Canis lupus familiaris: one gene and its partners. The protein of the gene in region 1 interacts with the protein of each later gene in a pairwise test. Links are inferred from orthologs where the notes say so. Each region holds a gene or a part of one and is shown in the gene's direction. Other genes may lie near its edges.

What was found.
Region 2: the proteins of LZTS2 (region 1) and BYSL interact in binary tests that used the Homo sapiens proteins (3 or more experiments, as listed by UniProt). The two-hybrid records come from large-scale screens. The link is inferred for Canis lupus familiaris from reciprocal best matches to the Homo sapiens genes LZTS2 and BYSL.
Region 3: the proteins of LZTS2 (region 1) and C15H1orf109 interact in binary tests that used the Homo sapiens proteins (3 or more experiments, as listed by UniProt). The two-hybrid records come from large-scale screens. The link is inferred for Canis lupus familiaris from reciprocal best matches to the Homo sapiens genes LZTS2 and AIRIM.
Region 4: the proteins of LZTS2 (region 1) and GPANK1 interact in binary tests that used the Homo sapiens proteins (3 or more experiments, as listed by UniProt). The two-hybrid records come from large-scale screens. The link is inferred for Canis lupus familiaris from reciprocal best matches to the Homo sapiens genes LZTS2 and GPANK1.
Region 5: the proteins of LZTS2 (region 1) and HSPD1 interact in binary tests that used the Homo sapiens proteins (3 or more experiments, as listed by UniProt). The two-hybrid records come from large-scale screens. The link is inferred for Canis lupus familiaris from reciprocal best matches to the Homo sapiens genes LZTS2 and HSPD1.
Region 6: the proteins of LZTS2 (region 1) and MAB21L3 interact in binary tests that used the Homo sapiens proteins (3 or more experiments, as listed by UniProt). The two-hybrid records come from large-scale screens. The link is inferred for Canis lupus familiaris from reciprocal best matches to the Homo sapiens genes LZTS2 and MAB21L3.
Region 7: the proteins of LZTS2 (region 1) and RAD51D interact in binary tests that used the Homo sapiens proteins (3 or more experiments, as listed by UniProt). The two-hybrid records come from large-scale screens. The link is inferred for Canis lupus familiaris from reciprocal best matches to the Homo sapiens genes LZTS2 and RAD51D.

What each region holds. Positions count from the first base shown.
Region 1 is NC_049249.1:13,868,791-13,872,921, forward strand, and holds the start of LZTS2 (leucine zipper putative tumor suppressor 2), read left to right. Parts: upstream 1-1,331; 5' UTR 1,332-1,488; intron 1,489-1,917; exon of another isoform or gene 1,918-2,439; intron 2,440-3,535; coding exon of another isoform or gene 3,536-4,131. Other genes in the region: proline-rich protein HaeIII subfamily 1-like, read right to left, coding at 3,536-4,131. UniProt on the Homo sapiens protein: Negative regulator of katanin-mediated microtubule severing and release from the centrosome. Required for central spindle formation and the completion of cytokinesis.
Region 2 is NC_049233.1:10,768,295-10,772,308, forward strand, and holds the start of BYSL (bystin), read left to right. Parts: upstream 1-1,214; 5' UTR 1,215-1,371; exon of another isoform or gene 1,372-1,578; 5' UTR 1,579-1,592; coding exon 1,593-1,860; intron 1,861-4,014. Other genes in the region: MED20 (mediator of RNA polymerase II transcription subunit 20), read right to left, coding at 1,023-1,036. UniProt on the Homo sapiens protein: Required for processing of 20S pre-rRNA precursor and biogenesis of 40S ribosomal subunits. May be required for trophinin-dependent regulation of cell adhesion during implantation of human embryos.
Region 3 is NC_049236.1:4,889,818-4,893,505, forward strand, and holds the end of C15H1orf109 (uncharacterized protein C1orf109 homolog), read left to right. Parts: intron 1-1,356; coding exon 1,357-1,475; intron 1,476-1,668; coding exon 1,669-1,706; 3' UTR 1,707-3,188; downstream 3,189-3,688. UniProt on the Homo sapiens protein: Part of the 55LCC heterohexameric ATPase complex which is chromatin-associated and promotes replisome proteostasis to maintain replication fork progression and genome stability.
Region 4 is NC_049233.1:1,285,955-1,290,021, reverse strand, and holds the start of GPANK1 (G patch domain and ankyrin repeat-containing protein 1), read left to right. Parts: upstream 1-1,267; 5' UTR 1,268-1,675; intron 1,676-1,686; exon of another isoform or gene 1,687-1,765; coding exon of another isoform or gene 1,766-1,814; exon of another isoform or gene 1,815-2,493; intron 2,494-2,790; 5' UTR 2,791-2,804; coding exon 2,805-3,415; intron 3,416-4,067. Other genes in the region: CSNK2B (casein kinase II subunit beta), read right to left, coding at 340-422, 1,766-1,814.
Region 5 is NC_049258.1:6,890,901-6,894,400, reverse strand, and holds part of HSPD1 (60 kDa heat shock protein, mitochondrial), read left to right. Parts: intron 1-1,783; coding exon 1,784-1,883; intron 1,884-2,439; coding exon 2,440-2,685; intron 2,686-3,086; coding exon 3,087-3,261; intron 3,262-3,500. UniProt on the Homo sapiens protein: Chaperonin implicated in mitochondrial protein import and macromolecular assembly. Together with Hsp10, facilitates the correct folding of imported proteins.
Region 6 is NC_049238.1:54,124,369-54,127,868, forward strand, and holds part of MAB21L3 (protein mab-21-like 3), read left to right. Parts: coding exon 1-103; intron 104-2,656; coding exon 2,657-2,841; intron 2,842-3,293; coding exon 3,294-3,488; intron 3,489-3,500.
Region 7 is NC_049230.1:38,217,477-38,220,976, forward strand, and holds part of RAD51D (DNA repair protein RAD51 homolog 4), read left to right. Parts: intron 1-1,417; coding exon 1,418-1,499; intron 1,500-1,773; coding exon 1,774-1,908; intron 1,909-2,649; coding exon 2,650-2,745; intron 2,746-3,467; exon of another isoform or gene 3,468-3,500. UniProt on the Homo sapiens protein: Involved in the homologous recombination repair (HRR) pathway of double-stranded DNA breaks arising during DNA replication or induced by DNA-damaging agents. Bind to single-stranded DNA (ssDNA) and has DNA-dependent ATPase activity.

The sequences.
Region 1 (4,131 bases):
GCAGTAATCATTCCCAGCCGCTGGCTGGTCTATGCCTCATCCAGGGTCTGTAACATTGAATGTCAGCCATGCCTTCCAGATGTACACCACCAGGTCATTCCTACCTCTAAGGATTCTGGTCTACTGGAAGGCCTGGTGTGTTCTCAGAAAATCCTTTAGCTATTTCCATTAGGGGACTTTTGTGAGGTCTCTGTGAATTGGGGATAGAAGGATAGATACGCACTTGCCTGTCTTGCTCCACCCTCCTAGCAGACATCCCCCCCCCACACACACACACACAAAGCACAAATCCGAATGATGGGAGAGGGGAAATTGACACTCCCCCAACCCCACCCCGTACACACACATTCCATTGCACACCTGTCTTAAACTCACATCAAGATTAGCCAAAAGTATGTCTAGAAGTCCCTGGAGCCTAGAAAGCAGTAGGGGATCCCTGGGTCCGGAATAAGGTCCCTGGTAGCCACTGTCCCTGTACCCAACCAGAGTGGATTGAGGCAAATTACCCGGGCTCTTTTTCCAATCGGATATTAATCACCCTGAGAGTTTAGGAAGGGCCTGGCCCAGCTGGGTCCAGCTGGATCTTCAGCCGTGTCTTCAGATTTAGTGTCGTTTTTTCAGCTTTCCAGTCGCTTCTTTACTGCAGGTGAGTTGGAGAAGAGATTAAATTCACTGGACTCCTCCTGTGCAGATACTCTTGCTGCAAGTAAGGCTCAGATACCTGTAGATGACAGTCTGTGCCTTCCCACAGGCTGCCTCGGGTGCCACAGATGGAGCCCTAGGTGCCTTCCTGCAATACAGGGCAACTTCCTGTTTGTGCCTGTGGGTGGAACTTTATGAGTGTAAGGGAAGCCTGGCCATGCTCTGTGGGGGGCCAGAACTGGCAAGTATGCTCACCTGGGTAGGCACCTACTGCGGGGAGGGGGGAAGGGGCTGGCTCTGCTAGGGCAATTCCGACCAGAGGGTGGGGCGGGGTCTGTTTTAGTGAAACCCGAGCCTTCTTTGTCTGCTTCCTAGGGGTTTTCCTTGTTCCTGGGGAATGAGCTGAGAGCCGACCCGGTTTGGCTCCTTACAGGGTAGGGCAGGTGGCAGTAAAGTCCTATCGTCAACTTGGTTAGGCCGGCCAGGTAGTTTAGCTCCCGGTCACGTGCTGTTCGCCCCTTTCCCCAAGTCGAAAACCAAATCCAGAAAGCTGTGAAGTCGGAGGCCAGAGGGGCAACCTGGCCACCACCGAGCTACTGCTGGGCTGGGTACCGGGTCCGCCGTAGAGGGGGTGCTGGGCAGACCACTCCCCTCCCTGGGTCGGGGGCGCGGCCTCAGCCGCCCCGCCCCGCCCCGTTCCACCAGGCCGGGCCCGGCGGGCGCCGGGAGTCCGGAGCCCGGAGCTGGCTGGGAGCCGGCAGATCTGCGGCGGAGAGGTGCCGGCGCTCGGGCAGGAGCTGGGCGGGAGCGGCAGCGGCAGCGGCAGCGGCGGCGCAGGTGGCCTGGGTGAGTGGTGGGGCCGCGGAGGTGTGGGCACTCCGGCCTCCCGCACATGCCGGGTCGGGAGCGAACTTTCCCGGTCTGGGGAAGCTAGGGGGTGGAGTGAGGAGAGGGTCCCACACTGGGGTCCGGGGGGCCCGCAGGCGAGGAGCCTGAACAGGGAACCGACACGGAAACTCACGCCAGTGGGTGCACACGCGCGCGCGCCGAGACCCACGCACATAGGACACACGTGCACTCAGGAGAGGACGCGCCCAGTGGGTTACCCTTGCAGTCCCTGGAGCGGCGCCACTGGCCCGCACGGAGCCCCAGCTGACAGGGTGCTCTGCTGTCCCGTACTTGGCAGGGGTGGGAGAAGGGGCTGCCCGGTGACCGCCGACGGGGGCGGGCCGGGTGGGACACCTCCGGAGGTTCCTGCTTCCTGGCCGCCCACAGGTGAAGACTAAGACGTAAACAGGCGCCGAGCACGTGATCGCTTCGCAGACGAGTGGGCTGTGCTTCCCTCGCCCCCGCATCAGGGCGAGGACCTCCCTCCCCAACCCTGGGCGAGTCTCCGAGGTCTCCTGTCGGGCCGTATTCCATTCTCCGCCTCAAGAAATGTTAAGCCTTCCCCCTGAAATGGGAGCACAACGCCCCCTGGAGTCCGGGTAGCGCAGGCCTGGAGACTCTTGGGCTCGGTGGGGTTACCTGGGCTCCTTGCCTTCCTTCACCCGAACGAACACGTTCGTGGGGCCCTCATCCCGGAAGGTATCGGAGGAGGGCGCTATTTCGGGTGGCAGTATACGGCAGCTCCGGCCCCATACCTCCAGTCTGGGGAGCAGCTGCCTGAGAGCCGGTGGGTCCCTTTCCTACCACCACCCCTCCTTGCAGAACTGGGAGCTCCTCCCTTCAACTGTAGGAGCCGAAAACCCACTCGTGCGAGAGTGGGAGTCCTCCTTTCCCAGAGAATGCATAAAGGTAAATGTCCTCGAAGTACGGGAGTGGGCCTATCCCCCTCCCCTAGAAGGGAGGATGAGCCCCCTCCCCCAGGGAATGAGGGAGTGGGCAGCGGCCCTCGCCTCCCTCTCTGCCCCACCCTCCACCCCTACACACACGCTGAGCCCAGCTGCTGCCTGAGCTTCCGGGCTGGCTGCCAGAAAGGGGAGGAGGCTCCTGGTGCCCCAAGAGGCTGGGATCAGGGCAAGGCCAGAGGAGGGGGTCTCTACTGGGGAGGGGGGCTCAGTCTATTCTTATGTGGCTCAGGGTCTGGGGTGAGCCTGAGGGTGGTTGGGCTATGCCTCCCTTTCCAGGGAAAAAGAAAGAAAAACAACCCTTTCCATAGAGCTAAAAATAGAGCTGAGAGCTGGCCAGGGCTGTGGCCTGGAAGGGGGGGATGCTCCTTCCTGGGGCAGAGGAGCTCTGGCAGGCCTTGGCCTTGGGGGTGGGGATGCAAGTAGGGGGTGGGAGGCCTGTCCTTGGCTGGGGGTGTGGGCATCAGCTGACCTGACCAGAGACCCCTCAGGGGGGAAAAAAGTCTTTGTGGTAAAAAATGCTCGTGAAACACCATGGGTATGTGTAAGTTGTCTGACTGAATGAGACCACCAATGTGTTAAAGATGTTTAGGAGAGGAAGCCCATTTAAGATTGTGACTCGGTAGGAAGGACTCTGAGTCCTTGTGAAAGATTGTGCACAAGGTGTGTGACACCCAGTGTGTCTGTGTGTAAGTTGGCCTGAAAGATTATGGAAGGAAGGAACCTGGAATCACGTGATGGAGGAGACTGTGATTGTGGCTGCGTGGGACCGAATGTGGGAAAAGTCGTGTGGGTGTTAGGAAGATTGTGTTGTTTGCGAGAGGGTGAGACTCTCTGTGACCCTGAGAAGACCGAGGGATGTTGTCAGCTGTGGGACTGGTGTAGGTTCTGACTGTAGGTTTGGACCGCCTCACCCCAGTGATTGTCAGGGGGCCAGGGGCTGCCTCTCTCCCAGCAGTGACCTCTCTTAGCAAATGATTCTCAGGGAAGGTTGGGGAGCAGACGGCCGCGCGCGAGGCAGGCCTGGGCTCGCGGGGGGCAGGCTACAGTGCTGGGCAGTCCGGTAGGGGCCCCCAAAGTTGCTGGGGTGGCGGTGTATCCTGCGAACGCGCCGCCTGGTGGCGCCGCCTCCGCAAATCCGAATCTGCCTCCCTCCACCGCTGGGGGTGGGGCAGGCACGGCCCGAGCCCGGGTCCGCGACCCGGCCCTGGGGAGCAGGGGCCCGGCGGCCGGGGCGGGTGGGGGGGCCGGCCCTCCGCGCCCCGCTCGGGACTCCGAAGCCGGAGTGTGTCTTGCGGGGGAGGCTTCGACCGGAGGAGCGGAGGGGGAAGGGCGGCCGCCGTGGCGCCGGGCCCTTTGTGCTGGAACAATGACCAGCTGCCGCTGGCCCCGGGGCCCGGGTAGGGGTGGAGGGTGACCCGCCGCCGCCGCCGAGTCCCCGAGCCCACCGGGCGTGGGGGGTCCCGAGGCCCGCGGCGCGGCCCCGCGTGACGCGGGGTGCTGCGCGTGTCCGCGCCGGGGCGGGGACGCCCCTCGGACCCCTCCCCCGCGCTGCGCCGCCCACTCGGGCCGGACGGGGGCCGGTCGGGCCGGGGGCGCCGCGGAGGCGGGGCCGGGCCGGGCCGGGCCGGGCGCCTCC
Region 2 (4,014 bases), on another chromosome or scaffold:
ACAAGCCTACAAGAACCTGAGCTATCAGAAAGACTAGCTCCAGGGATCCCTGGGTGGTGCAGCAGTTTAGCGCCTGCCTTTGGCCCAGGGTGCAATCCTGGAGACCCAGGATCGAATCCCACGTCGGGCTCCCCGCATGGAGCCTGCTTCTCCCTCTGCCTATGTCTCTCTGCCTCTCTCTGCCTCTCTCTCTCTCTCTCTCTCTGTGTGTGTGTGTGACTATCATAAATAAATTAAAATTTTTTTTTAAAAAAAGAGTGGTTCCCACAGGCTCCAGCCCTAACTAGAAACGTGCTAATACTTACCGGTACTCAAAACAAAACAATCCCTAAAATCTAGCATTTTCTCCAAGAGCATTAGGCCCATACCTTTCTCTGCCACCCCACTTATATCATGTTGAGAGATTAAAAGTCCATAGTAATTAGTTACACCAACCATACAATTAAACATAGTAGGAAACGAATTCTGAAGAGGTGACGTGCCTAAACCCCAATCTACCTCCCAACAGCTGCTGCTGCTTATTTTTTTTTTTTTTTTCCCTCTAGACCGAAAATCTTAAGACGGCCGCACCAGAACCAGACACGGGCCGGTCTAACTGCATTAAGTGGCTGTAGGGAGGGGCAGGAGAAAATCTTTAAAAAAAGACGGTTTCCTCGTTGCCTATCCTTTACCTCCTCTAGCTACGCCTGTAGATTGGGTCCTAGTTCGGGCATCCTTAATTTCCACCTCGGGCAGCCCTATGGCCTCCTGGGAAGGAGGAACACAACCACTGATGGGCTCCTGGGACAAAACCTTTCACCTGCCGCCTTTCAGGACGAAGGGAAGTGTCTCCGAGCAAACAAGCGCGGAGAATCTGCAGCCCTCGCAGCGTCTCCATCACCCACACGTTCCGAAGATATCTTATCTTCATCAGCTCATGGGGGACCGCGGTCCCTGGTCCCGGCCCTCCTCCCGGTACACTCCGGGCTCCGGGGCCCTTCCCGACCCCGAGCGCCGCCCAAAAAAGTCCCCTGCGGGCCTACCAAGTCACTCCCATGGTATCGGGCCAGGAGGATGGCAGGAACAAACAATCGGATCACAGTAGTCTCTGGCCGCCCACACTAAGTGAAGACCCCTAACGAAAGCTTCGGCCGAGGGAGGTGCTCCGGAAATGACGCAAAAGGAGAGCGTCCAGTCGACGCGCCCACGAGGAACAGGGGCAGGTCTAGGCATCTCCTCGGTGACGCCTCCAGTGACGTCACTACCCAACTCTGGCCCCGGCTTTGCAGCTAGGCAAGTCCACGTTTGGCTGGGAACAGAGGTCCTCGATCTATGAAAGTAGAAAACCACCGCTCGGACTGCCACCACTTGCAGAAGCCAGCGTTAGAAGCAGTGAGTTCATTCGGGGACCGGCTGGCTCCAGGCCCCGCTCTTACGGGGTGTGGCGGCGCTGATGGCCTTCCCGGCCTCCGGACGCCGGGAGGCGCTGTGAGCTCCGCGGGGGCCTCTTGGGAGCTGGGACTTCACGGCGCAAGTGCGCTCAAGGCTTTTTTTTTTTTTTTTCCTCGTCTGTACCCCACGTGTAAACCTTTCTGGCAGAGTTCTGGAAAAAAATGCCCAAATTCAAGCCGGCTCGCGGAGCTGCAGGCCAGGAAAAACATGCGCCGCTGGCTGAGCAAATCCTGGCTGGGGACGCGGCGCGGGCAGGGCCCCGGGAGAAGCGGCGGGGTCGTGGGACCAGAGAGGAGGACGAAGAGTATGTGGGGCCCCGGCTGACCCGACGGATTTTGCAGCAAGCGCGGCAGCAACAGGAGGAACTCGAGACCGAGCATGGGACTGGGAACAAGGCCGCAGCCCCGCGCGAGCGCACCACGCGTCTGGGTAAGTGGGGGAGGGGGGTGCCAGGAAGAGGGTGGTTAGTTTTGGAGGGAGGGGGAAGTAGATAGACGGCCAAAAGGTTCTGCCAGGGGAATCCTTTGGAATAAAAAAAGTGAAATTGAATAAGGAGTCCGCATCACACCCTTGCAAAGGTGATGAAATGGGAGACCCAGCCCTGGAATAGATTCAGGGTGGTCAGAGCTCTCTATGCCCACTTGTTGCTTTAGATGCTTGCGTCTAGGCAGTCTCTAAGTTAGACCAACAAGAAGTTAATTGGTCACACTATTGAGCACTCCTAACGTTTATCCATCTGTTCTGTACATTCTTGTAGGTTGTCTAGTCCGTACTTTGCACTGTGCTAGGTAGGAGTTTAGATGGTTTTGAGTAAAAAAGGAAGCAAGATAGCCATGACCCTGACTTCAAGATCTTACAGTCTAACCTGAGAGACAATTAAATTGACGATTCGAATAATACATTTCATGATGAAAGTATAGTTTTGGGACACCTGGGTGTCTCAGTGGTTGAGCATCTGCCTTGGGCTCTGGGCAGGATCGCGGGGTCCTGGGATGGAGTCCCGCGTCGGGATCCCAGCGGGGAGCCTGCTTCTCCCTCTGCCTATGCCTCTGCCTCTCTCTGTGTGTTTCTTGTAAATAAATAAATGAAAATCTTTTTTTTTTTTTTTAAGTATAGTTTCATCTTAAAACAAGAGCATTAGTTTTGGGGGTCAGGGTTCCTAGGTTACATGACTTTGGTGCTGAAAACTAGTGGAGAGAGAGCTCTAAGCAGAATGAACGATATTGTTTAGGTGCTATAAAGAGGGAGAGAGACTAATAAAAAGATGGTCTTTTTTTTTTTTAATTTTTTAGGGTGTAAGTGTTGACCTCCGGGTCACTTAATACATTTCTCAGGTCACATCTTTCATTTGTCCTGAGAGCAGTGTTTGACACAATTAAACACTGGCCTCCTGGGTTCGGTATCTTTACTTGGCTTCTGAGCCATCCCATTCCTGTTTTAGTACTTCTTCACCTCTCAGCATCTTTTGCTGGCTCTTTTGTCCCCAGCCTTTTATCATTGATATGCCACAAGTTTGGTTCTTGGACCTCTTCTTTTCATATCTCTTCTCTGGTGCTGTCATCCATTTCACGGTTTAAGTACCATCTATTTGGTAACTGTTCCCACCCTTGTATTCTTGCCCTGATCTCTTCCATGAAAATCAGATTCTTCTATTTTAGCTGCCTTTTTGACATCCCCAATTTGAAATCTAATAGACGTCTTAAATTTATTTTTTTTAAGATTTTATTTATTTTTTCATAAAAGACACAGAGAGAAGGCAGAGACATAGGCAGAGGGAGAAGCCGGCTCCTCACAGGGAGCCCGATGCCGGACTTGATCCCAGAACTCTGGGATCCCTCCCTGAGCTGAAGGCAAACGCTCAACCGCTGAGCCACCCAGGCGTCCCAAGAGATCTCAAATTTAATGTGTCCAAAACAGAAATCCTGATCTTCTCGCCAAACCTGCTCCTCCCACTATCAGCTCAGTTAATAGGATGCTATCCTTCCATTTGATCAAGGCAAGCCTTGGATTTCTTTCTTATTCCACATTTGATATGTTAGGAAATCTTGTTGACTCGTATCTTCAAAATAGATCAGAGTCGGGCAGCCCGGGTGGCTCAGTGATTTAGCACCGCTTTCAGCCCAGGGCCTGATCCTGGAGACCCGGGATCGAGTCCCACGTCAGGCTCCCTGCATGGAGCCTGCTTCTCTCTCTGCCTGTGTCTCTCTCTCTCTCTCTCTCTCTCTCTCTCTCTCTCATGAATGAATGAATGAATGAATGAATGAATAAATAAATAAATAAATAAATAAATAAATAAATAAATAAATAAATAAATCAGAGTCAGACCACATCTCATCACCTTGGAACACAGTCCTATTTGAACCACCATAATCTCTCACCTGGATTATTTTTAGTAGCTTCCTAATTAGCATACAGTCACCCTTACAGTCCACTCACAATAATTGGATGACTTAAAAGACCTCCATGATCTGCCCCTGTTGCCAATCTGACCTCCTCTACTACTTTCCCCTTACTCTCTTCATCCATACAGGCTTTATTTTTCCTTAAACATACTAACTTAGGGCTTTTGTCCTGGTTATTCCT
Region 3 (3,688 bases), on another chromosome or scaffold:
GGTCTTTGAAAGGATCTTGGCTTCGACGGGAAGCTATTCAAAGGTTTTGAGAAGAAGGTAACAATCAGCCTGTGTTTTTGATGGAGCCTCAGCCAGCAGTACTGAGCACTGATGACGTGCCAGGTACTGTTCTGAGAAAGTCCACACGACCCCTTGGCAGGTGCTTTGATTCTGTTCCCTGGGCCCTCGTATCTTCCTTCTGTATCTGCACTGCCTCTTCCGTAGTTTCTTGCCTCTCGTGTGGCCCCTGGTCTATGCAGCCTCTTGATAGGTTTCTCCACCTCTGGCTTCTTTCCCTCTAAGCTGGCTCCAGCCGCTGTGACCTCACTTCCTTCTGAAGATGTCTTTGTTCTGCCCGTTGCCAACATTGGAGTTTTGAGCAGCTTCCATTGCTCACGGACCGGAATCCCCATGGTGGTCTTCAGTGCTCTTTATGTTCTGGCTCGACCTGCCTTCTCAGCCACCTTCCCTGCTAATGTTCCTTGCTGGCCAGATGGGAGGATTTACTAGGCCCTGAAACCAGTCCGTGCTTCTCCACTTCTGTGCCTTTGCTTACGCCTTTCCTGCCAGCTGGAATCCTTCTGCTGCCACCCGCCCCGCCATCCCCCCCAGCCAAGGGAGGTTTTCATCCTCGGAACTGCTATACAGTTTCCCCTTTAACGTCACTGAGATTGTATCTTTTCAGTTCCTGGCTTGCTTTTTTTTTTTTTTTATGGTGAGATCCTAGGTTGTTGGGGTAACATTTCATCCCTCTGGCCTTGTAGCTCTGTGAGTGAGGAGGTGCTCGGTAAAGATCGGTAGCGTTGGTGAGTCCTGCCACCTGGTAAATGGAAAGATAGGCCACCCTTTCACTCTTCTGGCTCCCGGTCGCTCTCCCCTGGGCATTTTTCCCCTTCAACATCTTTCTTTTCTTTTCTTTTCTTTTCTTTTCTTTTCTTTTCTTTTCTTTTCTTTTCTTTTCTTTTCTTTTCTTTTCTTTTCTTTTCTTTTCTTTTCTTTTCTTTTCTTTTCTTTTCTTTTCTTTCTTTCTTTCTTTCTTTCTTTCTTTCTTTCTTTCTTTCTTTCTCCTTCCTTCCTTCCTTCCTTCCTTCCTTCCTTCCTTCCTTCCTTCCTTCTTTCTTTTTTTAAAGATTTATTTATTTATTTATGAGAGAGAGAGAGAGAGAGAGGGAGGCAGAGACACAGGCAGGGGGAGAAGCAGGCTCCACGCCGGGAGCCTGATGTGGGACTCGATCCCAGGACTCCAGGATCATGCCCTGGGCCAAAGGCAGGTGCCAAACCGCTGAGCCACCCAGGGATCCCTTCCCCTTCAACATATTTCATTTGCTTTTTGGGTAGTCCTTAACTTCCAGGAAGTTACCTGAAGAGAAAGTACCTTCTGTCCTCGATCCAGTGGGGAGACTTGGCAAACATCCAAGCTTTGCCCAAGGCCTGGGACCAAATTTCAGAAGATGAGCACCAAAGCCTTGTACAAGGTGCTGGTTTTCATTTATTACTTCATGTCTGCTCTGTGTGTGTGTGTGTGTGTGTGTGTGTGTGTGTGTCTCTCACTTCTTTGGAAGCATTACAGAGATGCCCTTGCAGTGCGTCTGTGTTTCTTATAAATCTGATGTTTTGCATTCTCTGGAGAGGGTGATATGCTACAGTTTTTCTCTCCTCCTATTCCAGATACCCTGTTGAATGTTTCCTTTTTCCTGGAAGAGTAAGAAAGCTGTGTGTTTATCAGCAGACAAGGGGGACGCAGCTGAAGACTGACATTGGTGCTTTCTAGTGTGGTGACCTGACATACTTGAAAAATCAGTGCCTAGGGCAGCCCGAATGGCTCAGCGGTTTAGCAGCACCTTCAGCCCAGGGCGTGATCCTGGAGACCCGGGTTCCAGTCCCACATCGGGCTCCCTGTAGGGAGCCTGCTTCTCCCTCTGCCTGTATCTCTGCCTCTTTCTCTGTGTCTCTCATGAATAAATAAATAAAGCCTTAAAAAAAGAAAAGAAAAATCAGTGCCTAGAGCCTGAGGACAGGCTTCTGATGTTGGGACCTCTCCCTGCGACATCATGGCTGAGGGCACATGGGCCACCGCTTGGCCTTTCATAAGCTTGGGAATGGAAGGAGGCAGAGAGAATGGGGGAAAGCAGTGCAGAACACTGGGGCAGGAGCCGCTGCCACAGAAGCAGTGGGGAGGGAGAGGGGAGGGAGTGTGGCCTCGCCCTCGGCATCATCCAAAGCTCTGAGCTTGGTTGACACCTGGCCCTGTTCCGTGTATTTGGGTCAGTACCTGATTCCTTGATGGAACAGGATTCTTCTTGATTTAAAGAAGTAAAGGTGATATTGATGGAAGACAGTACAGATCTTTCTCGATGGGTTACCTCCTGATAATCCCATCATAAGTTGAAAATATCGGAAGTCAGAAATGCTCTTAATACACCTAACCTACCAAACCGGTGCCCAAGCACTCACACTAGCCTACAGTTGGGCAAAAATCATCTACCACAAACTTACAATGAAATGTTGAATATCTTCTGTAATTGGTTGAAAAACAGAATAGCTGTACGGGCACAGAATGGCTGTAGGTTGTTTGCCCCTGTGATCTCTGGGCTGACTGAGCTGTGGCATGCTGCCGCCGCCCAGCATCACAAGCATGCCGCAAGTTGCCAGCCCAGGGAGAGAGCCACATTCAAAATGTGTAGGACGGTTTCTGGTGGACACGTGTGGCGTTTTGCACCATCCCATCGTAAGAGTCGAAAAACCGCAAGTCAAAGCGTCGTACCTCCCAGAGTGTCCCTGTTCCCTAACTGCTGTAGCTCCTCACTGTCCGGACAGCTCCAGTTTCTAGAGCCACCACCAGGGGGAGGTGGTGCAGCATGAATTATGCTCAGGGCTCCGACTTTGAGGAGTTCTCTTGTCCCCCTGTCCCAGTTAGTAGCTGGGGAGAGCAAGATGGTTACAATGACAGGGGTTTTGACCAAAGCTGGCGCCTGATTCACCACATTGTTTTGATCTGAGAGTAGCTCCACGGTGGGAGAAGACCTCCCCGAATCAGGCCCTGGGGGTTACATTTCTGAAGCCCATTGCCTTCATCTGTAAAATGGTCGGGTATTTCCAGACCTATCAGCTTCGGGGGTTGTGGAAAAATCTGGGTCACTGAATGTAAAGAGGCTTAATAAAGAGTATAGATATTTTTAAAATGAAAATGACTTTTTTCCTTACTACAAAAGTGATATATATATATATATTTTTTTTTTAAATCATAGAAATGAAAAAAAATCATAGAAATGTCAAAAAATTCTTAAGTGTAGAAAAGTACAAATAAAGCTCCATCAGTGATATTTTGATATATAGACCCTTACGGTGTCCATATTCACACACACAAAGAAACCAAACCCAAATATAGCGTCATTGATCTATCTATAGGGTTATTTAATCTTTTTTTTTTTTTAGGGTTATTTAATCTTGTTCAAAAAACATAGTTTGCCCATCTTTTCGTATCTGTAAAAATAGCTCAACACAATTACAGTAGATACTATTACACACATCATATACCATTTTGTGAACGTATTAGATTTTCTACTTTTCCAAACCTTCATGTGTTTGTGCCTGTAAAGATCTCACATTCTGGTTGCGAAAAACAGAAATATCACAGAAAGTGAAAACACATGGTGTCTTCTGTTTTTAACAATATGGTAGACATTCC
Region 4 (4,067 bases), on another chromosome or scaffold:
CTTTGCCTGTTACAAAACATTTTGATAAACGGCATTTTAATCCTAATAGGCTCCCAAATTAAGCACTACTAGTACAAGCCTAGCAATAATAATAAGAATAACAGTAGTAGTAGTAGTAGTAATAAAGTTGACTTTTCCAATATTACACCGCTGGACAGTAACAGGCTTGGGATGGGCAAGTCTTGCCACTTCACAAATTAGTGAGGGGAGTTACTGAAGGGACTCTTCCTTGACAGGAAAAAGTTTCTATGACAGCCTGTAAGAGAAGTAGAAGCTAAATATGTGGAAAAACATACAGCCAAACTTTGTGCGGACATAGCTGGGAGATTGAGAACTCACTTCACAAAAGAATTCATTGCCACGGAGCCCACAGAACCAGGATATCCAAGACACCTCCTCTGAGCTGCTCATCTTCACGTCAGCTGGGAAAAAAAAAAAAAAGAGGGTAAACAAAGGCCAAGCTCCCCCACCCTGTCTCTGGTACCTTCCCTCCTCCCCACACTCTGCTCCCCGACCATGGAAGAATTTGGAGCCCCCTTTTCTTAAAGGATCCTAGACCCTGGCGCACCTGCCTCCAATTCCTCTTATTCACTAGAGGCTCTTTGGAGTCCCACCACTTCTGAAAAACCGACAGGTCTAGGCTCACCCGTCCTACCCACACCCCTAACAATCCCGAAAACCAGCACCCTCTCCTCTTTACGTCAAGTCCCTCCCTCGCAGGGCTCTCGGCTCGAGATCCCTACCCCGCAGGTCTCCGCATGTCCCCGACACCTTTCCCAAGGGTTCCGAAGTTTATCCTTTCCAAGCAAAAGCCAGGACCCTTTCCCCTCACGACCTGGAGGTGGCCCTGGGTCCCTCTCACAGGAGTCCCCACACCCCGCCTCTCAGGCCAACCCTCCCTCCCCCGGTGCCGGACCGGGTCACTTCCTTCCCCACCCCCACACCAACGCGCGGAGACCCCATGTGCCGCGCCTAAGGACGGAAGACTCGATGCGGCAACGACCTCAGACTCACCGGCTGGGCGGGGACCGGGACCGGGACCGGGGTGGGGGAGGGGAGTTGCTGCTTCCAAAGAACCGCGACGGCTACAGCGCAGGCCGCGGACCCGACCGCGGCAGGCGAAGTAGCGAGGGGGGGGGGGCGGGGGGCGGTGTGTGTGGAAATTGGGGAGGGTGGGGAGAGGGCAACGCGCAAGCGCCAAGGGTCGGGCGCCGCAGTGAACGCCGGGAAATGGAGTCCCAGGTAAAGAGAAACTGGCGAAGCGAAGAACAGGCGAACTACGAATCCCAGGATGACCCACGAACGACCCTGGCGTCGCGAGGCCCAGGAACAAGACGCTCGGGGGTGGGGAGCAGCGGGATACCACCGGAAGCGGAAGCGCAGTACCCCGTTCTGGGCCAGGGAGTATGGGAAATAGAGTCGTAGGGTCGCGCAACTGAGGGGCCGGGAGGGGGCGGGGAAGGAACGGGGCTGGAGGGCTGGATTCCTGCAACTCCCCTCACACAGCGAGGCTCTGCCCCAGGTGTTTGCCGGCAGCCCAGGGTGCTGACCTCGTCCCCGACTACCCCACCGGGTCCTTGTTGCCTGCGGAGCCTCTCGCCAGAGTCAGGCCCGCCACTGGAGGCCCCACCCGGGCCGGTGCTTCACCCCGGGGTCTAGTCTCCTCAGGCGGGAGGTGAGGCCGGGCTCCTTGCTTGCGGGACGTGGGAAGAGTGGGCTGGGCTGAGGTGAGCGGTGTGAGAATTGGGACGGCCTGTGCGCTAACCTGAAGTGGCGCCAGCCATTCTGCTGCTCGTCCCCTTGCACTTTTCCATCTCCTCTCAGAGCTTGAATGGGGCCTTCTGCTGCGGGCACTAAGTGTGACCTTCGAACCCTGCTCAGAATAATGGTGAGGGGTGGCGTGACGTTATTTCACTTCACGGCTTCGGGGCATTCCACAGGTTTCCTCCCGCCTTCTCAGAGCCCTCCTTAACTCGGTGGTTTCGCAGGTCCAAAAACTGCGCTCGGAGTGGGGGGCCACGTTCCGGGAGGCGAAGGGCATTGTGGGGCGTTATGTAGAAGTAGGACCCCAACCGACAGAGCCTCTGTCCTCGCGCTGCCTGGGCACGTGGCATCCTGGAGGGTCCCACCGTGCGAAGGCTCAGCCTGGCGCTTCGCACACGCCCGCACCCTCAAGTTCTGCTTTGTGGTGGTTGATTTTTTTTTCAGTCACACATGTGTGTCTGGGTCGTGTGGCTATTGGACTGGCAGCACCTTTGCTTAGATAAAATTTTTGTGGTACAGAGACCCTGTGGGGTCTCCACAGAGACTGGAGTTTCTCCCCCAAATCTTCTTCTTGCATCCGGAGAAGGTTAAAAGTCTGTTTTTGTTTGGAAAGACCCTACCCTGACATAGGATCAAGGAAGATTTAAAGGGCTAGGCTGATTGTTTTCTTAACTGCACGTCTTACCTGGTGATCAAGTAGTTTGAGAGAGAAGCTGTTTTTACTTATTGGTGAGGATAGGGATGGGCCTCTGGGCAATTCTCATTAAATCTTTGTTAAGTTAACCTTTACGAGGGATATGGGCTGTTATTGTATGGCTCCCTGTTTTTCCACATGACCTATGGTCCTTAGGCCCTGTAGGGTCCTAGGTTGTGGGGTCACTTAGAGTATAAGACGGGTTTTTGACTTGGAAAAGGCTACTTTTCCTCATCCCAGCAGATCTGTGGAGGTGGTTCTGGTCAGTGCAGAGCCACCAAGGGATTGGCTTGCTTGTCTCATACGCCCTTTAATTAGTCTCATTGTCTCAGTTCTCCCAAAAGCCATGTCCAGGCCCTCCCTCATCACCTTCACCCCGGCCACCAACCCCAGTGACCTCTGGAAAGATGGGCAGCAGCAGTCACAGCCTGAAGAGCTGGAGCCCACCCTGAATGGGGCTGCAGCCCGGGCTTTCTATGAGGCCCTGATTGCAGAAGAGAGCAGCATCCCTGCATCCCAGAGATCTCAGCCTGAACCTGACAGGAAAAGAAAGAGGAAGAAGAGAAGAATGATGGGGGAAGCTGCTGTAGGAGCCTCAGCAGGACATGGACAAAGGAGATCCCTTGAGGCAGAGGACAAGATGACCCATTGGATACTGAGGGCAGCCCAGGAGGGTGACCTAGCAGAACTAAGAAGGCTCTTGGATCCCCACGAGGCAGGGGGAGCGGGGGGCAATATCAATGCTCGGGATGCCTTCTGGTGGACCCCCCTGATGTGTGCTGCTCGAGCAGGCCAGGGGGCTGCTGTGCGCTATCTCCTGGGCCGTGGAGCTGCCTGGGTGGGTGTCTGTGAGCTGGGTGGCAAGGATGCTGCTCAGCTGGCTGAAGAAGCGGGTTTTCCTGAGGTGGCGCGCATGGTCCGAGAGAGCCACGGAGAGACGAGGAATCCAGAGAACCGGTGAGAGGAAGCCTTAACCCATGCCCATCTTTCAGTGTGTTCTGCCCTTCCTAGTCCCTCCATGCCAGAGGCTCCGGAACAGACTCAAAGATTCTCTCCCTGATCCCCAGTGTAGGTTGATATGGCAATGGAATCGAGTAGTAGTAAATGTGAGCTCCCTGTTTTTTTTGTGTGTGTGTTTTTTTAAGATTTTTATTTATTTATTCATGAGAGACACAGAGAGAGAGAGAGAGGCAGAGGGAGAAGCAGGCTCCCTGCAGGGAGCCCGATGTGGAACTCATCCAAGGTCTCCAGGATCACACCCTGGGCCAAAGGCAGGCGCTCAACCGCTGAGCCACCCAGGTGTCCCAGCTCCCTGGGTTTAAATTCTGATTCTACTTACTTGGTCAAGCAACCTAATTTTTATGTGCCTCATTTTCCTTATCTGAGAAATGGGGGGTAACAAGAGCACCTGTTAAAGAATTGTGAGGATTTAATGGGTCAATATATGTAAAGTGTTAGGATGACGGTTTACCATATATATATATATATAGTTAATATATATATATAGGGGATTAACTATATACATATATATAGGGGATCCCTGGTGGCGCAGGGCGCGATCCTGGAGACCCGGGATCGGATCCCACATCGGGCTCCCGGTGCATGGAGC
Region 5 (3,500 bases), on another chromosome or scaffold:
TGCGCCACCCAGGGATCCCAAAACTTTTTTTTTTTTTTTTAAGAGTTTATTTATTTATTCATGAGGCACAGAGAGAGGGAGAAGTAGGCTCCATGCAGGGAGCCCGATGTGGGACTCGATCCTGGGACCACAGGATCAGCCCTGGGCTGAAGGTAGGCGCTCAGCTGCTGAGCCACCCAGACATCCCATCAAAGGACATTTTAATTAATGGTCTGAAATAGAGAATTTGACATTCAATCTAAGATAAAGTCTCTTCGCTTAATTTTTTAAACTATAATATATGATTTTTTACTTTACGACTAGTAGCTCCTGCTATAAAAGTGTTAGGGCCTTACTGTGGTGCATGGCTGTCTCCGTCAGAAGAGCATGTGACTCTTGATCTTGATTTGATTGTGAGTTCGAGTCCCACATGGGTGTGGAGATTAAATTTTAAGAAAGAATATTAGAACGTTTTTAAAATACATATTCTTCCTATTCCTAGAATTGAGGTATATTAGAAGTAATAATTTTTTTTGAAGATTATATTTATTCAGGAGAGACACAGGCAGAGGGAGAAGCAGGCTCCATGCAGGGAGCCCGATGTGGGACTTGATCTCGGGACTCCAGGATCACGCCCTGGGCTGAAGGCAGCACTAAACCGCTGAGCCCCCTGGGCTGCTCTAGAAGTAATAATTTTCCAATTGTAATGGAAATGGACAAATGAAATAGTTATATGGGAGAGTGCATACCTTGACACAAAAGCTCCGAATGAGTTGACTTATCCTTGAATGTTTGTTAGCTTGGATTTGCTTTTTGGGTTATGAAAAGCTTTATGAGATTGTGGGATTTTAAGTCAAAATAAATTAAAAAAAAAATAGACCTCCAGAGTTTCATTGAGCCATCTACTGGTGTCTGTAGCTTTGGATGGCTGATTGATTTGGCATACTATGTTTATCTGTCCCTCTGATTTTTATTTGGCCCTTTAATAAAATAGACCAACTCTGTCTTTAACAGTTTAAATACTCCTTTTTCACACAGTGTGGTCTCAAGTGGACATTCCTTTGATTATATATTCCAGATATTCATTACATGATAAAATCGCAGGTGAACTTAATGCTATTTATCAGCAACACTTATATATGTAAAGGAACTGAATTAAGAACACTGCTCAAACTTCAGTAGTAACTTGATCCATTACTAAATAGAACAAATAGGGTATAGTTATCACTGTAGTTAACTTAAAAGTTTTTTGTTTATGTTAGCATTTATTTCCTGGGTTCAGTTTAACCGTAAGGTCAACAATTTTTGACAAAGGTAATGGCAAATATGGATGAATGGAAAGTTGCTCTTTCATGTCTTAATTTGACTAAAAGTTGGTAGGAAGCAAAAAATTGTAAAGTGTGGTTTCCAGGGGTGCCTGGGTGGCTTAGTCAGTTATATGTCTGCTTTCAGCTCAGATCATGGTCCTCGGGGGTCCTGGGATTGAGCCCCATGTTGGGTGCCTCACCCCCCCACCCCCATTCATGTGCTCGCTTTCTTTTTTTAAAGAGATTTGATTTATTTATTCATGAGAGAGAGAGGCAGAGACATAGGCAGAGAGGGGAAGCAGGCTCCTTGCAAGGAGCCTGATGTGGGACTCAATCCCAGGACCCCGGGATCACACCATGAGCCACCGAGCCACCCAGGCGTCCCATCACTCTTTCAAATAAATAAAACCTTTTTTAAAAAAAGTGTGGTTTCCTAAGTAATCTTAGTACTAAGAACTTTAATTAACTTTAAATCTCATTCTTATTGTTCTTAACAGGCTAAAAGTCGGTCTTCAGGTTGTGGCAGTCAAAGCTCCAGGTTTTGGTGACAATAGAAAGAACCAGCTTAAAGATATGGCTATTGCTACTGGTGGTGCAGTAAGTAAAATATATGTGATGTTGGTTTACTGAATGTTATATACTTCCAGGCCTAAAATTTATAGGTAGATTTTAGGTTTTTCACAATCATTTATTATTAACTATTCATTTTTGTTTCTGTTGGATGTTTTCGAGGTAAAGGTTTGATTAAATGTGCCCAGGTCCCTTCTCTAACTTGCTATGAGTCTAGCCCAAGAATAGGATTATTTGACTAATCTGTGTTCAATACAATAGAAAAGACATAGGACTTAATTGTTTAGGTCTAAGGTCTAGTCCTGGTTCCACCAAAAGTGTGACCTCAGGGGAATTGAGTTTATACTTTTCTGAAATAAAGCTAATTAATTCTGATTGAGGATTAAGTGAGAAGTGGGAAATGCAGTGAAAAACCTGATCAAGTCTTCTCTGGACTAGACGTTGTCTTGAAATTTCACATTTCAAAGAAATACAGTATTCTAAGATGTTTATCTCCTCAAAAAACCCACCTGATGTATTACTGATAAACTTGGTATAATGAAAAACCAAGCTGCAACGGGTTCATTTTTAAATATTTTTGTAGGTGTTTGGGGAAGAAGGGTTGACTCTAAATCTCGAAGATGTTCAGCCTCATGACTTAGGAAAAGTTGGAGAGGTCATTGTGACCAAAGATGATGCCATGCTTTTAAAAGGAAAAGGTGACAAGGCTCAAATTGAAAAACGTATTCAAGAAATCATTGAGCAGTTAGATATCACAACTAGTGAATACGAAAAGGAAAAGCTGAATGAGCGTCTGGCAAAACTCTCAGATGGAGTAGCTGTGTTGAAGGTAAGATTCATTGTTGTAAATGAGTTTCTTGGGTTCTGAACCCAAGAATGATTTTGTTTCTGTGGTACTCTCCAATAGTGCCGTGTAACCAAAAGGTTTTGGGAAATAACTTTGTCATGGAGATATATATTATATAAAATTTTTTTGGAATACTCCCCTTAAAGCCAGAAGTGAACTTGGTATTGCTAAGGAAAAAGGTGTTTTGTTAATGATAGTGTGTTGGACTGATGTGAGACACTGCACTGACCCTATTAGCTCTTTAATCATGCAGTCACTTTTAACAAATAGGCGACCTTTTTTTTACATGTTTTTAAGTGAACTCCGTGCTTTTCAGTGACTCTTGCCAGTCAGCATCTTGAATGGGCAAAACCCATACTAACTGGAATTCTTTTAATCATTAGGTTGGTGGGACAAGTGATGTTGAAGTGAATGAAAAGAAAGACCGAGTTACAGATGCCCTCAATGCCACAAGAGCTGCTGTTGAAGAAGGCATTGTTCTGGGAGGAGGTTGTGCCCTGCTTCGGTGCATTCCAGCCTTGGATTCAATAACTCCAGCTAATGAAGATCAAAGAATTGGTAAAATTGCCTTTCATGAGTTGATTTGCAACCTGATTTTAGTCTTTCAGAATGCAGTTGCCCATTAAATAGAACAATAAACCACAAAGATTCCAGAATAACATTAGAAGAGCACTGATAATTAGAAAATAAATGAAAGATGCAGTCATGTCCAGGGGGAATGATTTGACCTGTGGACAAATAGAATTTTAATTTTTACAAAAGAATGAAACTGGGGATGCCTGGGGAGGCTCAGCGGT
Region 6 (3,500 bases), on another chromosome or scaffold:
CACAAGGCAGATGTGAACATAGAGGGGGATATCGTGCCTGCCAAGGTCCTCCAGGTGTTCCGGAAGCTGGTAGAAAATGCAATTGGAACCTGTCATCTCTCAGGTGAGCTGATCAAGAAAAGTACAAGGACAATTTCTGGCATTCCCCTTTTGCTTTAAAAAACCTCTGCATAGGTGTCACCCCGAAGCTCATGCCCCTAAATTAAGATAATCCCCATGTGCTCCTTACATCTGTTCACTCCTCACAATATGAGTTAGCTCTTTTTTCTGCTTTGACACTGAAGAATAGGATCCATATAACATCCACTTGGATTTCCGTGGATTATTGCCCCAGCAGAGAAATGATGGGCTTTCGGTTATGCACCAGTTCCCAGATGTTAATTTAAAAACTTGGCTACATGTTTTAAAAAGCAAATTATTCACAAACTACATATCTTTGGTATTAGCACATTCCTACAACACCCTCCAACTGACTGCAGTACCCTGGTGTATTGAGATGCCGCATTTGGAAACCACTGATTTGTGCCAAAACACAAAATTGAGAAGCCATAAAGAACCGATAAGTTTGATAATCCCAAAATCTTAAACCGTATACCAACATGTGGCATATGTGCACAGGCGGGCACACACACATTTTGTTCACACAGAATAAAAATGTGTATTTCATGCTGGGTAAAAAGTTGCAAATTTTCTTAATTATAAAAGAGTAGTTGTAAACCAGTAAGAGTAGGAGCCAGCCAATAGAAATAATGACCAGAAAAATGACTCACAGAAAAAGAATATAAACACGTAGTAGTAAAAAAGTGGGGAAAAAAATTCCATCTAACATATATTTCAAGCAATGTGCATTAAAACAACTAATAGATTGACAGAGATGAAAAAATGTGATCATGCTCAGTGTAGGGGTGAGTGTGGTACAAAAGGCCTTTTCAAGCATTGTTTTTGGAAGTATAAATTGGTGCCTACTTTTTAAAGGGCAGTCAGTCTGTTTTTATTTTTATAAAGTGCTTCAGTTGACAATTCACCAATTCCAGGTCTAGAAATATATTCCTACAGATTAGAAAGAAATATGCATAATGGTGTCCACTGCCATAGGGGCTGTGTGAAAGAAAGTAAGTAGACATAATATCAAAAACAAAGGGAAGTTGACAAAATAAATTGTACTACCTCTACCTCTACACAGAGTTGTAAAAAAATCCCTGCGCTGGATAATGAAGGGAAAAACCAGAGCACCGACCAAGAGGCAATCCCACGTGTGTAGAAAGAAAAGGATTTGAAAATGTACTTTTACTTGTCTGGACTGAGCTGTTCTGAAAGGTCCCATAATGGAATTAGCCCATGTTTAATGCGTTTTTTACCACATTAAGGATGCTTTCGTGGAAAATGTCATGCGCATAGCAACCCTGGAGAGTCAGAGTTATTTTTCTACCTGTTTTACGGATGAGAACACTGAGGTTGAGAGAGAGGAGCTATCATGCATGACCGAGGTTGAGGTCATGCATCGAGTGAGCTGAGCCAGGGCAGAAGCAGGGTGTGGGGGGCAGGCTGGTTCCAGCATGTGCTGACCTCTTCACTTCGAAACACTGGTAATAGTGAAAGTGCAAATGAGGGCTTGCAAACGGGCCAGGTTGATGAGATGCTTTCAGTAAACAATGCCAGGGTGCCAGACGTCGTCATGTTCCTGTCTGGGCAGCTCTGATGAGCTGCAGACAGTAAGCTCTTCATCGCACCCCAGCCAAGGAGAGGAATGTTTTCCTTTTGAATAGCTTAACGTGATTAATGAGCAAGCTTCCATTTTCTTCTCTGAGCAAACAAGAGAAAAAGAACAGATCCTGATTCAAGACAGCTCATCCTTTTTATCTGTAATGAAGGCAAACAAACAAAACTACTGCGTATCTTTTGAAAGAAGGGGGAACAGATTAGCAACGAATTCTAGTACAGGAACTGGAAGATGCTCCCAGATGCATTTATCTTCTCTCCCTCTCTTTGCCAGGTTGGAAGAGGCAGCGGGGCTTCTTTCCACTCATTCGAGCCTTTCAGCCAGTGGCTATGACACACTTTGAAGAATTCTATAATTGCAAGGGCTTGGGATGACAAATACACCTGAGGCTAGGCTAGCTTAATGGATAGTGGAAACAATGCCATCAGAGAGCCTGGGCGGCAGGGGAGGGACGGGTTAAGCCGAGCTCCACTAGAGGCCGGTGAATGAAGTCAGGGGACGGAGGCTGACAAGGTCAGGACATCTGAGCAGAATGGAGGGGGCACAGAAGAATGGCTGGATTTCATTTTTACTAGCAAATACTCCATCTTTTCTTTGTCTTCTCTGCCTCTTCCATTGAGCCTTCTGAAAAGAATCTATTACTTTAAAAGAAAAGGTGCCATAAAAGCCTCGGGGGTGGGAGAGAAAGGGAAAAGCAACCGGCACCAACAATGAGGTTTTCTAGCAACATTTCTACCAATATTTACTCAGCTAATTGTCTAGTTTTGCCATAAACCCCCCACCTTTGGGGTGTTTCCGGCCTGTGAAAGTTGCCCCATCACCTGCAAGGAGCTGCTCACACCTGTGGCTCCCGGATTCCTCCTTAGGACCGTCCTTAGGACGTGGGCGCTGAGCCAGGCTTCCTCTTCTCATCACCTCTTTGTCGCTTCCCACCAGGTAAGGTCAGCATGCTCCCACACCACGCTGCAGCTGCAGTTTGGGTTGCCGTGGAAACGCCCACGTGTCAGGTGGAACTAGAGCTGGTCCCCGCAGTGGAGATCCCCACGGCCTGGTCTGAGAAAGCTCGGTGGCCTCCCTGTCTGAAGCGCTGGCCTTCCCGACAGAGAGTGGAGTGCATCAAGGTATCAGTGGGCCGGGGCCCAGCTCACAGCGTCACTGTCAACCAGCTTTGGAAGGAAAAATGAGGTTTCACCAGATCAGTGGTTCTCCAGGTGTGGTCCTCAGAATCTGCAGTGACCCCTGAGAGCCTGTCAGAGATGCAGAGTCCCAGGCCCTGCTCTGGATCCCCCGAGGGAGAGCTGGTGGGCAGGGCCCAGCAATCTGTTTTAACAAGCTCTCCAGGCTCAACTTGGAGAACCAGTGCCCGAGAGAAAGTGGGCACAGTCTTTCCAGTTCACTGTGTGCCAGGAAAGGGGTTTGCCCCGAGCCTCCTTCCACATCCCCACGCGGGAGGTACTGCCTGCCTGGTAGCAGGCTCCCCTCCTGCCGCAGAGCAGCGCATGGCTTCTGAGACGGCTCTACTCTGGCAAGCGTCATCCTTCTCAATGTTCCCCATGTTCTTCTCTTCCCCCAGTCGTTTGGGTTTGCCCTGTTGGCCTGTTCCAATTATCACTGGCAGCTGAGCTTCCTGCAGGCCGAGCAGGTGCTGCTGGAGCAGCTGGACGAGGACGGGGGTTGCCGCAGGAAGTGTCTTCAGGCCCTGAGGCAGGTGAAGGAGGATGTCTGGTGTCCGGGAAAGAGGCCTGTCATCACGTCCCACCATCTGCAGGTGAGCGGATGC
Region 7 (3,500 bases), on another chromosome or scaffold:
AACCCTGAGATCGAGTTACATGCTCCTCCATCTGAGCCAGGCAAGTACCCTAAAACTGTCAAGCTTTTAGAACAAAACAGAGGGGAAAATCTGAGAACTAGAGCTAGGCAGAGAGTTCTTAGACTTGACACCAAAAGCATGATCAATTGGGGTGCTTGGGTGGCTCAGCAGCTAAGCATATGCTTTCAGCTCAGGGTGTGATCCTGGATCATGGGTCTGGTGATCGAGCCCCACATTGGGCTCCAGTAGGGATCCTGTGGTCCTGGAATCAAGTTCCATATCAGGCTTCCCACAGGGAACCTGCTTCTCCATCTGCCTGTGTCTCTGCCTCTCTCTGTGTGTCTCTCATGAATAAATAAATACAATCTTTTAAACAAAACAAAACAAAACAAAATCATGATCAATTAAAAAATAATTGTTAATAAAACTATAAGATTAAAAATGAATCCAGATTTAAAATTTTTGCTCTGAAAAGAGGACAAAAAGACAAGCACAGAGTGGTTTCCCCACAGAGTGGGGAAAATATTTGCAAACCACATATTCAACAAAGGACTTGCATCTAAAATATATAAAGAATTCTTTTTTTTATAAGGATTCTTTTTTTTTTTTACTTTTTTTTTAAGATTTTATTTATTTATTCATGTGCGACACACACAGAGAGAGAGAGAGAGCAAGGCAGAAACACAGGCAGAGGGAGAAGCAGGCTCCACGCAGGGAGCCTGGTGCGGAACTCGATCCTGGGTCTCCAGAATCACACCCTGAGCTGAAGGCAGCGCTAAACCGCTGAGCCACCCTGGCTGCCCAGTTTAGTAGTTTCTTATAGTTTAGTAATTTCTTATAAAATTAACATGTGCTTGCCATACAACCCAACAGTTGTGTTTTTTGTTTTTGTTTAGAGAAGGGGGAGAGGGGCAGAGGAAGGGAGAATCTTAAGGAGGCTCTATACCCAGCACAGAGCCCTATGCCAGGCTTGATCTCACAAGCCTGAGATCATGAGCTGAGCCAAAATCAAGAGTCAGATGCTTAACTGATTGAGCCACCCACAGACCCCTTTAAATTTTCTTTTTAAGACAAGGCATTGGGGGTCTCTGTGTGTGTGTGTGTGTGTCTCATGAATAAATAAATAAAATAAATAAAGTTGAAAAAGTGACGAATTATGGGAAATGCTATCAAGGAAACCTGTAGGGGATTAAGATAGGCAATAGAAAGAGGACCCTTTGATGGGTTGGCAGAGACCTCTGTGGAAAGTGATCTTTAGGCCAAGAGTGAATGGATGGACCTTGGAGCCATGCCCTCTTTCCCTAGATATGTTCAGAACTAGTGCTGGGAAGGAATGTCTTACTTTTCTTGGTTCCTACTCCCCTCTGTCCCCACCAGTCCACTGGGTTGATTCTCTTTCTTCCTCTTCTTTCATCAGCCTGGACAAACTGCTTGATGCTGGTCTCTACACTGGAGAAGTGACTGAAATTGTAGGAGGCCCAGGTAGTGGCAAGACCCAGGTACATTTGCGGCCAGCAGCAGGTGGCCATGGGGTAGGGAAGGGGAGGGGAGAAGAGGGAGGAGGTGGTGGGTAGCACCAGATCTGTGTGTGTGTGTGTGGTGGGGGGCGGCTTCTTCTAATGTACTTGTGATTCAGAGAGAAGATAAGTGGTGAGGAGTTGGGCATGAACTTCGCCCATTCGAGTTGCTGGGTCCTGGACAGGATTTGGTGGGGAGCTCCCATTCTGGGCCCTCTTTGGGGGCTCACTATCTCCCAATGCCTTGTCCCTTCAGGTATGTCTTTGTGTGGCTGCAAATGTGGCCTATGGCCTGCAGCAGAATGTTGTATACATTGATTCCAATGGAGGATTGACAGCCTCCCGCATCCTCCAGCTACTTCAGGCCAGAACCCCAGATGAGGAGGTGCAGGTAAGGGGCAGGAGGGTTGAGTTCCCTTGAGGTTCTGATGTAGAAAGATGCCATTATTCCTTAGAGTGCAAGAATTTTAGCTGTTTGGATAGTCACTTCTGAGTTTGAAACCTATTGTTCTTAGTACTTCCTGAATTCTTTAAGTGTCCCCTGTTATAACATTAGCCCAGCTTGGATGCTACCCACACTGATCTTCCAAGGTGACCTAGCTCCATGCACACCCTAATTCATAGCTGGCAAACACCCAGCATCTGTGTTTCCTTCCCATTTTTCTTGCCCATAGCAGACATTCCTAATCAGACAGAGCTCTGACTTGGCTTTGCAGCTCAGCCCCCAGACAGCCTCCACTGTAACAACTGGCCCAGTAGACAGACCCATTTACCATCTTGTACTGGAGTCCTTACATCTAGGTGTCTCATTTTGCTCAGCTTTAAAATCCCTCTTTGGGGGCACTTGGGTGGCTCAGTTGGCTAAGCATTTGCCTTGGGCTCAGATCATGATCTCAGGGTCCTGGGGTCAAGCGCTGAGTTGGGCTCCCTGCTCAGCAGAAAGTCTTTCTCCCTTTTCCTCTGCCCCTCTCCCAGCTCGTTCTCTTTCTCAATCTCTTTCTTTCTGTCTCTCGCTTACTCTCTGTCAAATAAATAAATAAAATCTTCAAAAAAAATAAAATCCCTCTTTATCTTACTTGAGCCCCTGCTCCCTCTTACCCAAAGCCCCTCCTTCTCTTTCCTACCTCTTTAGGCAGGAGCTCTCCAGAGGATCCAGGTAGTTCGTGCATTTGACATCTTCCAGATGTTAGACGTGCTACAGGACTGCCGAGGCACTCTGTCCCAGCAGGTGAGCCTGCTGTCCTGCCCCTCCCTGCTTCACCCAGCTTGCTGGGGCTATCTGTATGTGGGCAGGTGTCCTACGGCTGACTGTTTGGAAATGCAGATGTGCAATCTGGTGACTCCAGCTGTGCTTGCCACCTCCAGGATGGGATTCCTGAATGCTTAATCATTCCTGAGTGCCTCTTGTTTACTTGCCCATCTTCCCCACTAAACACTAAGGCGCTTGAGTGCAAGGATCACGTCATTCATTTCTGCATTCTGCCCCCCACTGGATCAGTGAGGATTACTTTCAGCTGCAAGTAATAGTCTGTCTGACAGGTACTTGAACCTTGAGGACATTTAATTATCTCACGTGAGTCTGGAGGTTGGCAGGTCCATGGTGTCAGGGCTCTAGGTTGATGTGTCTGATTCTCTGGCTCTTCCCCCTCATAATTGCAAAGTGGCTGCTATAGCTCTAAGCACTGTGTCTTCATACATCAACACCCATATTTGGGGCAGTACTAGATGGCCCCTCTTCTGTACTTAACCTTTTTATCGGGATAGAAAAATCTTTCTGCAAAACCTACTAGTAGACTTCACCTTACATCTAGTTGGCCAAAACAGAGTTTTAGGTGTATCTTAGCCTAGGGTTTAGGCCCATCTTCTATGATGCCAGATTTCTTTCTTTCTTTCTTTTTTTTTTTAAGATTTTATTTATTTACTCATGAGAGACAGAGACAGAGAGAGGCAGAGACACAGGCAGAGGGAGAAGCAGGCTCCATT